2 linked regions of the Caenorhabditis elegans genome follow. The protein of the gene in region 2 interacts with the protein of the main gene of each other region in a pairwise test. Each region holds a gene or a part of one and is shown on either strand. Other genes may lie near its edges.

Evidence for each region. The genes of interacting proteins can lie anywhere in the genome.
Region 1: the proteins of penr-1 (region 2) and elt-7 interact in a two-hybrid assay, tested with the Caenorhabditis elegans proteins (one large-scale study listed by BioGRID).

What each region holds. Positions count from the first base shown.
Region 1 is NC_003283.11:4,769,078-4,773,593, forward strand, and holds elt-7 (Transcription factor elt-7), read left to right. Parts: upstream 1-1,592; 5' UTR 1,593-1,636; coding exon 1,637-1,758; intron 1,759-2,636; coding exon 2,637-2,922; intron 2,923-2,975; coding exon 2,976-3,061; intron 3,062-3,706; coding exon 3,707-3,809; 3' UTR 3,810-4,009; downstream 4,010-4,516. Other genes in the region: C18G1.9 (FERM domain-containing protein), read right to left, coding at 438-534, 581-618. UniProt on the Caenorhabditis elegans protein: Transcriptional activator that binds to the consensus sequence 5'-[AT]GATA[AG]-3'.
Region 2 is NC_003283.11:5,267,603-5,271,254, reverse strand, and holds penr-1 (HMG box domain-containing protein), read right to left. Parts: upstream 1,771-3,652; 5' UTR 1,766-1,770; coding exon 1,646-1,765; intron 1,601-1,645; coding exon 1,368-1,600; intron 1,320-1,367; coding exon 828-1,319; intron 780-827; coding exon 671-779; 3' UTR 511-670; downstream 1-510. Other genes in the region: spi-2 (TIL domain-containing protein), read right to left, coding at 2,530-2,850, 3,052-3,173, 3,224-3,278, 3,350-3,352.

The DNA.
Region 1 (4,516 bases), 500 kb from region 2:
TCTAGAAATAGACGATTACGAAAACTTGTGGTGTACGGTAGCTGAAAGGTTTCAATCGTGCCGAGACCAGGTACAGTATTTCCGCGCACATATTTCTCCATTTCCCCGTACTTTTGGTTTTTTTTTTCAAAAACCCGGAGTTTTAGCGCTATTAATTGCGAAAAGTTGAGCGAAATTGCAAAAGTACAGTGTATTTGTTTCCACTTCTACGACTTCAAAAGAGGGCGCATTCATTCAAAATGGTCTCGTCACGCGCCATTCATTGATTTTTGAAGCGCGTGGCGAGACCAATGGGTGGAGCGTGGCGGGACCATTTTGAATAAATGCGCCCTCCTTTAAAGTCGTAGAAGTGGAAAAAATAAACTGTAGAGGTAATTTTGAAACACATGCGGGTACTGTAGGCACAAAGTTCCGATTATAAAAATCGGGATTCATACCTCAAACACTGCCGATCGGAAATTCGAATTAGCCATCTTATACCAATTTTCTGCAGATTCCTCATTTTGTGTGGTGTAAGTAATTTCGTGTCGAGATCTGTAGCGGTTAACTGAGAACTCGTAATTCTAATACCTTATATTACCTCCGAGTTGTACTCAATCCTGGTCTCGAGACGCACATTGGGGGTTAGTCGGTTAGTTGAGAAGCCGCGAATGCTAGTAATTTGAATAAAAATAATGAATTTAAAATCGCCTCTCACAGTTCTGAATTCTTATCTTTTTCCAAATCTACACTTTTTTTAATAGAAAAATACAGTTTACGTAAAACTACATTCCATGTTGATTTTTCAAGCATTCATTTTAAATAAATTATATGTATTTTAAAAAAAAACACGTTAGAAATAGGCTACCGATAATACAAGAATTAAATTATAAACACTATGCACTCTCACAATCAGTTTATGCCCCTTTTGCACATTACTTCAACTTAAAAAAAAATAATTGCACACTTCCTCCAGGACACAGCATTTCAACTTGGAACAAGATTTCCCATTCGCGACAAATTTGTCCAATTTGCCATTTGTTAAGCTCGGAATACTCTAAAATTTGCCTTGAGTTTAGAAGAAAGAAATGAATGAAATAACACAAAATTTTGTGAGTATCTTTAAAAAAAATTTTTTTTCCAGAATGCTACACTTTTAAAGCTTTTTCGTCAATTTTGTGATCCAAAAAATAGTTTTAAAATATCGAGATTTTCCGGGTTCGCCGACCAGGGCAAATTTGTCAAATTTGCCGGTTTTGCCGGACTCTGCAAATTTTGAGATTTGCCGCACCCCCCCCCCCTCTTTCCCATGTTTCCTTTTTTTGCTCGTCCACTGGCACACAAGGCATAGGTACATGCATCTCTGACTTACCACTAATTTACGACTATCCATAAAAGTCCCAAGTCATATTTACTTTCGTTCTCCTTCCCTTTAAGAACTTTGCCGTCCAGGTTCATAGTCATTATATCATAAACTACTAATGATGGGTGGTGAGCCACACACAGTTCCCCATCACCACCGCCGCCGGTCTATCTTATCACTCTGACCTTTTTTGTCTCTTTCTCTAGGATCTCTCCGGGCTCTTTGTTACTTTCCTGCCTGTAACAAAGACAGACATTTGTGGTTAGAGTTGTCTGCTCTAGTCGACTGGAAAAAATGCTCCCTGAAACTACTACTCTTCAACCACTTCCATCTGTTACGACTATCATGAATGAGCCGCCAGCGAGAAGTCCAATGGAGGACTATTATTTATTTAATCAATTTCAATATAATCAAAAGTAAGTTTTGAAATCAAAACTGTTTTATTGCAGTGCATAAAAATGTTGCATAATGTAATTGTATTATTTTTACGGCAAACTTAAATTGAAATATTCACTATCAACAGAATTATATGGTTTTTACATTACTACCAAAATATTACTTTCCTGTAGTAATGTATACAAAAACAACAACTTTGTTCCAACATGTGACCAAAACTATGTTTTATTGAACTCATGTAGCATAACTGATAAAAATCAATATCGAATGCTCCAAAGTATACTGCTTATAATCAGTAGTTTTCAGTGTTTTTGAGAATAGGAATCTTTGAGAATTATTATATTTTTTAAGGTTTATTATTATAATTTGAGAGTCTGAAAAACGAGTTTCATGCTGGGAATGGCTTAAAGTGTATGACTTAACATGTTTCCTGTTTGGCAATTGTAGGTAATTTCCAACTTTCTCTCAAAGTTTAACAATTTCCTACAAAGCAGTTAAAAAATTCTGTCTACCTTTCGTAACTTTCTTTCAAATGTTAACACTTTTTGCAAAATTTTTGCAACTTTCTGTCAATCTTTGGACATTTTCTGACAACTTTTTGCAACTTTCTGCCAACTTTTGATAGCTTTCTTTTAAAGTTTAACAACTTTTTGCCAACTTTTGGCATCGTCCTGCCAAGCTCTGGCAACTTTTTGACAACATTTGGCAACTTTTTTCCAACTTTTGGCAACTTCTTGCAAAACTTTTGGCAACTTTCTGACAAATTTTAACAACTTTCCGCTTAACTTTTCCTGCCAAATTTTACCAACTGCTTACAAATCTTTTGCCTAGTCTCCTGCACCACAAATGTACTACAAACTCAGCTCAGCTTGAGAGAATAAAAACTCCAACTTTTCAGTCCATATGTCTACCCACCGCAGCCCGTGTACTACAATACTTGGCAAGATGCTTCAACTCATCACTTTGATCCATTCCAGAGTTATCAAATTCCATCTCCATACGAACAACCAATTCAGTCGTCAATGTGTACTACTCCATTACAACCACTTGAAGATTCCAGAATTATTTTTGATGAAAGCTTGACGAAAAATGAAAATGAGCAAAAATCCTTTGTGGAGCAAGATAGCAGTTACGAATCATCTGGAAACCGATTTGGTTCACAGAAGGGAAAGAAAATTGCAAAAGTAGGATTCGAGGGTTTAGAATGAAATAAATATTTCTATATGAAATTTTTCAGGTAATTCGTGATGCGTGCTGCTCACACTGCTCAACAACTACAACCACACTTTGGCGTAAAAATGATGAAGGGAATCTTGAGTGCAAGTAAGTTTATATTTTATTATATTCTTTTATATTATTTCTACCAGGTGTGCGCGGCAACCGATTGTTTTTCTGGCAAGTCGGCAAATCGGCAAACCGGCAATTTGTCGATTTTCCGAATTTGCCGAAAATTTTCGGCAATTTGTGGTTTTGCACATTTTTTTTGGAAATTTCCGAATTTCAATTTTAATCGGCAAAATTGTACGCATCCTATGAATGTTCCTACATCTATTCTGAAAAGTAAGCAAGTTCTGTGAAAATATCTAAAGAAAACGGAGAAAACATTTCAAAAATGCACAGTTTTAAATGTTTCCGTCTTATAAAAAATCCCTCTAAAAACAAAAATCATCAATTCAATTTCCGAAAAATCGGCAAATTGTCGGAAATGAAAATTTCCGGCAAAATGGCAAACCGGCAATTTATCGATTTGCCAAATTTGTTGACAAAAAAATTTGCCGAATGGCACTTGCCGCCTACCCCTGAATTTTTTCGAACATTTAGAACATTTACATTCCAAATCAAAAATTCTCAGTTGAACTTGCTTATAATTTTCGATTATTTTTTAGAATTTCGAATTTAAAATTTTATTAATTTTAATGACTAGTTAAATATACATCATTAGTTCCACTATTAAAGTAATATTTTCAGTGCTTGCAACTTGTATTACCGTCACAACAAAGTGAAACGCCCGTTATCCCTCTGCAAGCAGAAGCCAACTACTCGAAAGCGGCGTCAAGCAAAAAAAGAATAGACAAGTTTGGACTGTATCGCCATTTTTCCAGCATATTACGTATCCCTCTACATCAATTGTACCGTGTTCTATGCGCTGATTTGTATTCGTTTTTTAAAAAAGATTATATATCTATGTCATCTTTTCCACTGATATTACCATATTCAAACATTTGTAATGTCAACTTCATTATTATTTTTCTTAAATAAAACGTTAGAGATACTACTTATACAAATATTGTTACAAATAATAATGTTGAAAGATTCTATGATAAGATGAGAAATTGGTGATATGTGGGATATTAATACAAAAGTGGGCTTTAATGTAGAAATTGAAACGATGAGACCAGGGACAGATGAAACCATCAATTTCTATATTCTGCCAAGCAGCCTCTAATAAATGCCGAGTGTGCAGACTCCGCCCCTCTTTCGCGTTTTTTTGGCTCGCGAAAGAAGGTAACACTACGTTTGGCTTTACAGCGTCACGAAGTTGTCCCAAAGTTGTCACAAAGTTGTCACAAAGTTGTCACGAAGTTGTCACGAAGTTGTCACGAAGTTGTCACGAAGTTGTCACGAAGTTGCCACGAAGTTGTCACGAAGTTGTCACGAAGTTGTCACGAAGTTGGCACGATGTTGTCACGAAGTTGTCACGAAGTTGTCACGAAGTTGTCTCGAAGTTGTCACGAAGTTGTCACGAAGTTGCCACGAAGTTGTCACGAAGTTGTCACG
Region 2 (3,652 bases):
CGACTTTTCGCTTCCGTTTTCGACAATTATCAACTTTCCGGGCATTTCTGAGCTTTTTCTGGAATTTTTCAGCTGATATTATTTTCAGATAAATCAAAGATTTTTCATTTTTTGGCACTTTTATTTAATGAAAATCGTTTTGTAGAATCGCCGAAAATTTCTGTGAACTTTAAAATTTGATTGAAATTTGCCTATCAAGCTTCCACTTCTACAACCTATGAGAAAATGTGCAAAATTTACGTCTGATCGTGGCGAGACCCACTTGGAAAAATAGCGTGTGCCTTTGAACTGAAATGCCAAAATTTTAGCGAATTAGAGTACTATCGGCAGGTACTAGATGCTTGTCAATGAAATTTCTTACAAAAATTGAAACATCTAATCGAATTATCTCCATTTCTACAAATTGACGACACAAATGGGAATCGGATTAATTAGGAAAAAAACGAACAGGAGAAAAGTATGAGGAAAAGCTATAAAACTTGCAAATCAACCACTCAGTGGACAATTACAATGATTATAACAGATTTTCATTAAATATTTTTGAAACAAAAACAAAACAGTGTGAAACAAATTTGGTTGAAATTCTCGAGTAAATGAAGAGTATCGCGAAAAGTTGATCATTATTGGAGATTAATAAAATAACGTTTAAAATTAATGGGGAATGGGTGGTTCACATGCTGATGGCAAGGCTTTCGTAAATATCCTTTTGAGCGGCCGGCAGTTTTTCGAACTTCTTTTGCAGCTTGATCTCGCGTTCCTCGTCAGACAGGTCACGATACCTGAAAAATATTTTTTTTTAAATTGAAACTCGGCAAAGAAACACTCACTTATCGTTCTTTGTTCTACAGAAGAGGCTGAATGCCGTCTCTGGATCCTTCTTGCTAGATCTCTTCTTTGGTGTGCTTGAAATTTCCTTTGAGTTGTATTTCTTGTTGAGCATCTTCATCTTGTTAACGATTGATCGCTTCTGTTCTTCTGTCAGATTTGGATGCGTATCAAGGAACTCCTGAAGTTGTGGAATGTACTGCAACGAAGCTTCTCGGAGTAGCTCGTCGAGTTCTTTCGCACCCTCCGTATCCGCATTCATTGCTTTGTAGGCGTTTTTCATCGGTTCACCACCGATTCCTTTCAACATAATCTGATGTTTCTTTATGTAAAGCTGTATTTTTGTAGGTGGACGATCCGGCATTGACTTGTACTCGACCAGAGATTTTTCACTGTTCAGATAGGTGGATATGGCGGCACACGAATCGTTCATTTGCAGATTTTTGAATTTCACCGCACTTTTCAGATACTTACGGAAGTCGAGAACGAACAATCTGAAATAATAAATTTTTAATTTAAACCAAAATTTCAGAAAGAGCTACCCTGCGTCAATATTATCATCTCGACGTGTTTCAGCCCATTCCGCAACCTTGTTTTCCATGTTATGGACTGTACTCGTTTCAGACTGCCTTTGAACAAGGAATTCTAAGAAAGACTCAATCAAAGGGCGCATTACATCAGGCTCGTAAATCGCTTGACCGTTGTCTTCATTTCTCGTCTCTTCAGCCTCGGTATGAGTAATTTGCTCTTCTTCGAAGTCCTCCGGCTCGGAATCCTGAAGAATCATCTTTTATTAGTGAAGAAATTGGGTTATTTTTACCGAAGAGTCCGCAGCTGGCCGCTTTTCCGCTTTAACCGACTTTAGAGCAGCAAAAGTTTCCGATTTCTTCTCTTTTTTTGGGCTCGATCCAGCGTTACTCGCATTCTTGCGTTTAGTCATTTCAACTGAAAATTGTAACGTAGGCAAAAAAAAATCGATAAATTCATAATCCACAGTTATTAAGTTTTAAAAATGCAAAATACACTTGATTTATGATAAATTCCGTGTTTAAAAGTACTTTTTACCAGAAACTTAAGGTTAATATAATATTTATGCGATAATTTTGAAGAAAACGAAGAAAACCAAAAGAAACAGTCAGTCACCAATAATAATTTGGGTGCTGGCACGATGCCAAGCATTGCATTCGAAATAATATTCGATGTTCGCGGTGGAGCGCACTTACCTCGCACCAATTCACTTTCGGCGGCAATTTGAATTTGAGTTTTTTGTGGCTGTTGAAAAAGTCTCGTTCTGTGATGGAAAATTGTATTGTAATCCGTTTTAAAGAAGCAAGAATTTATTTAGATCGGTCTCGATGCGCAAAAATGGTTATCGTAAATTTTTTTGAACATTTTCGGCTGCTTTCTTGTGTTTTCTAGCATTTTGATCAATCATATGTATTATTAAACGACGTAATTATTAATAATTACGTCGTTTTTATCAAACTCTGTCGTTTTCTGTTTATTTTTCAGTTAAAAATTGTTCTAATATTTTGTTCTAAATTAATAGCAAAATTACGATATTTCAAAAAAACACGAGTTGTTTTTTAAGTCGAGATTATTTTTTGAATGAATAGAAGCTTTATTGTGCAAAACTCATTTTTACAGAACATCATTCAGCGGTACGCTGAATCAAGATTAAAATGTTTTTAAAAAGCATTTCGTTTAACAATCTCGTTGTCTGACACATCCGGAAGGTCCTCGGACAAATCCCTCAGAGCATTGACACACGTTCACAATACACTGCATAGTGCACGCTTGTGGACGTGGAGTAGTACAGCTCGGCTCACACGAAGATCCGCAGGTTCTGAATGTTTCGTTACGTCCGCATCTCTGAGGAGATTGAGATGGGAACGGAGTGGAGCTTCCGAAACCAGTTCCAGGTCTGGAGCATTGAGCTTGACGCACACATTGTCTGGTGATCTCGTTACGAACGTATCCGCTTCTGCATTGGCAGACGTTGTTGATGCATTGCTTGGTGCACATCTAAAAACACGCTTTGATCTTCGAAAAATGCGGGAGGTGAGACGCATACATCTCATATGATTTCGCATGGTTAAGAGCGTACTGACGTCACAATTTTCTAGGAAAAAAACCCGCATTTTTTGTAGATCAAACTTAGGCGTGCAGAATTTTCGCGTGACGGTGTTTGCACAGAAATACCCGAAGAGTCGGCAGATAGCTTACCGGGTTCGGATTGGTGCATGATGGCTCACAGGCGGTTCCACAAGTCTTATATTCTTCATTTCGTCCACGGCATGGCAATCTTTGCCCACCACCAACTTGTCCACCTACTGGCAGAATTTGAGCTAAATTTAAAAAAATATGTCATGCTTATTATAAGTTTCAGAATATTTACCATCTTGAGCGTAGACGTAGCATCCAATTAAAGCTGCGAGAACGATGAAAACTTTCTGGAAATGGTTTACTTAAAGACTTACAGACACGAGGAAATTTTACAAATATATGTATAACAAATACTCACCATTGTTGAGAACTTATGACACTTTGAAAAATAGCAAATAACAATTATTTGTAGTACAATAACCGCTGGTCGCAAATTGACTCTGCCTTTCCATCCATTTCCTTACCATTTTATACCCTTTTGCTGTGTGCCGCCCAGTTCTCGAAAAAACGAAAAAGAAGTGACAAAGTTCGGAGGATCAACTAGATACCAGTTGTTCACACATAACTGACGCGTATTTACATGATGACTGATCCAAGTGACTTTTTGTTGATGTTTCCTTGTTTAAATTGGTACAAACATCACAATGCTCAATAGAATAGA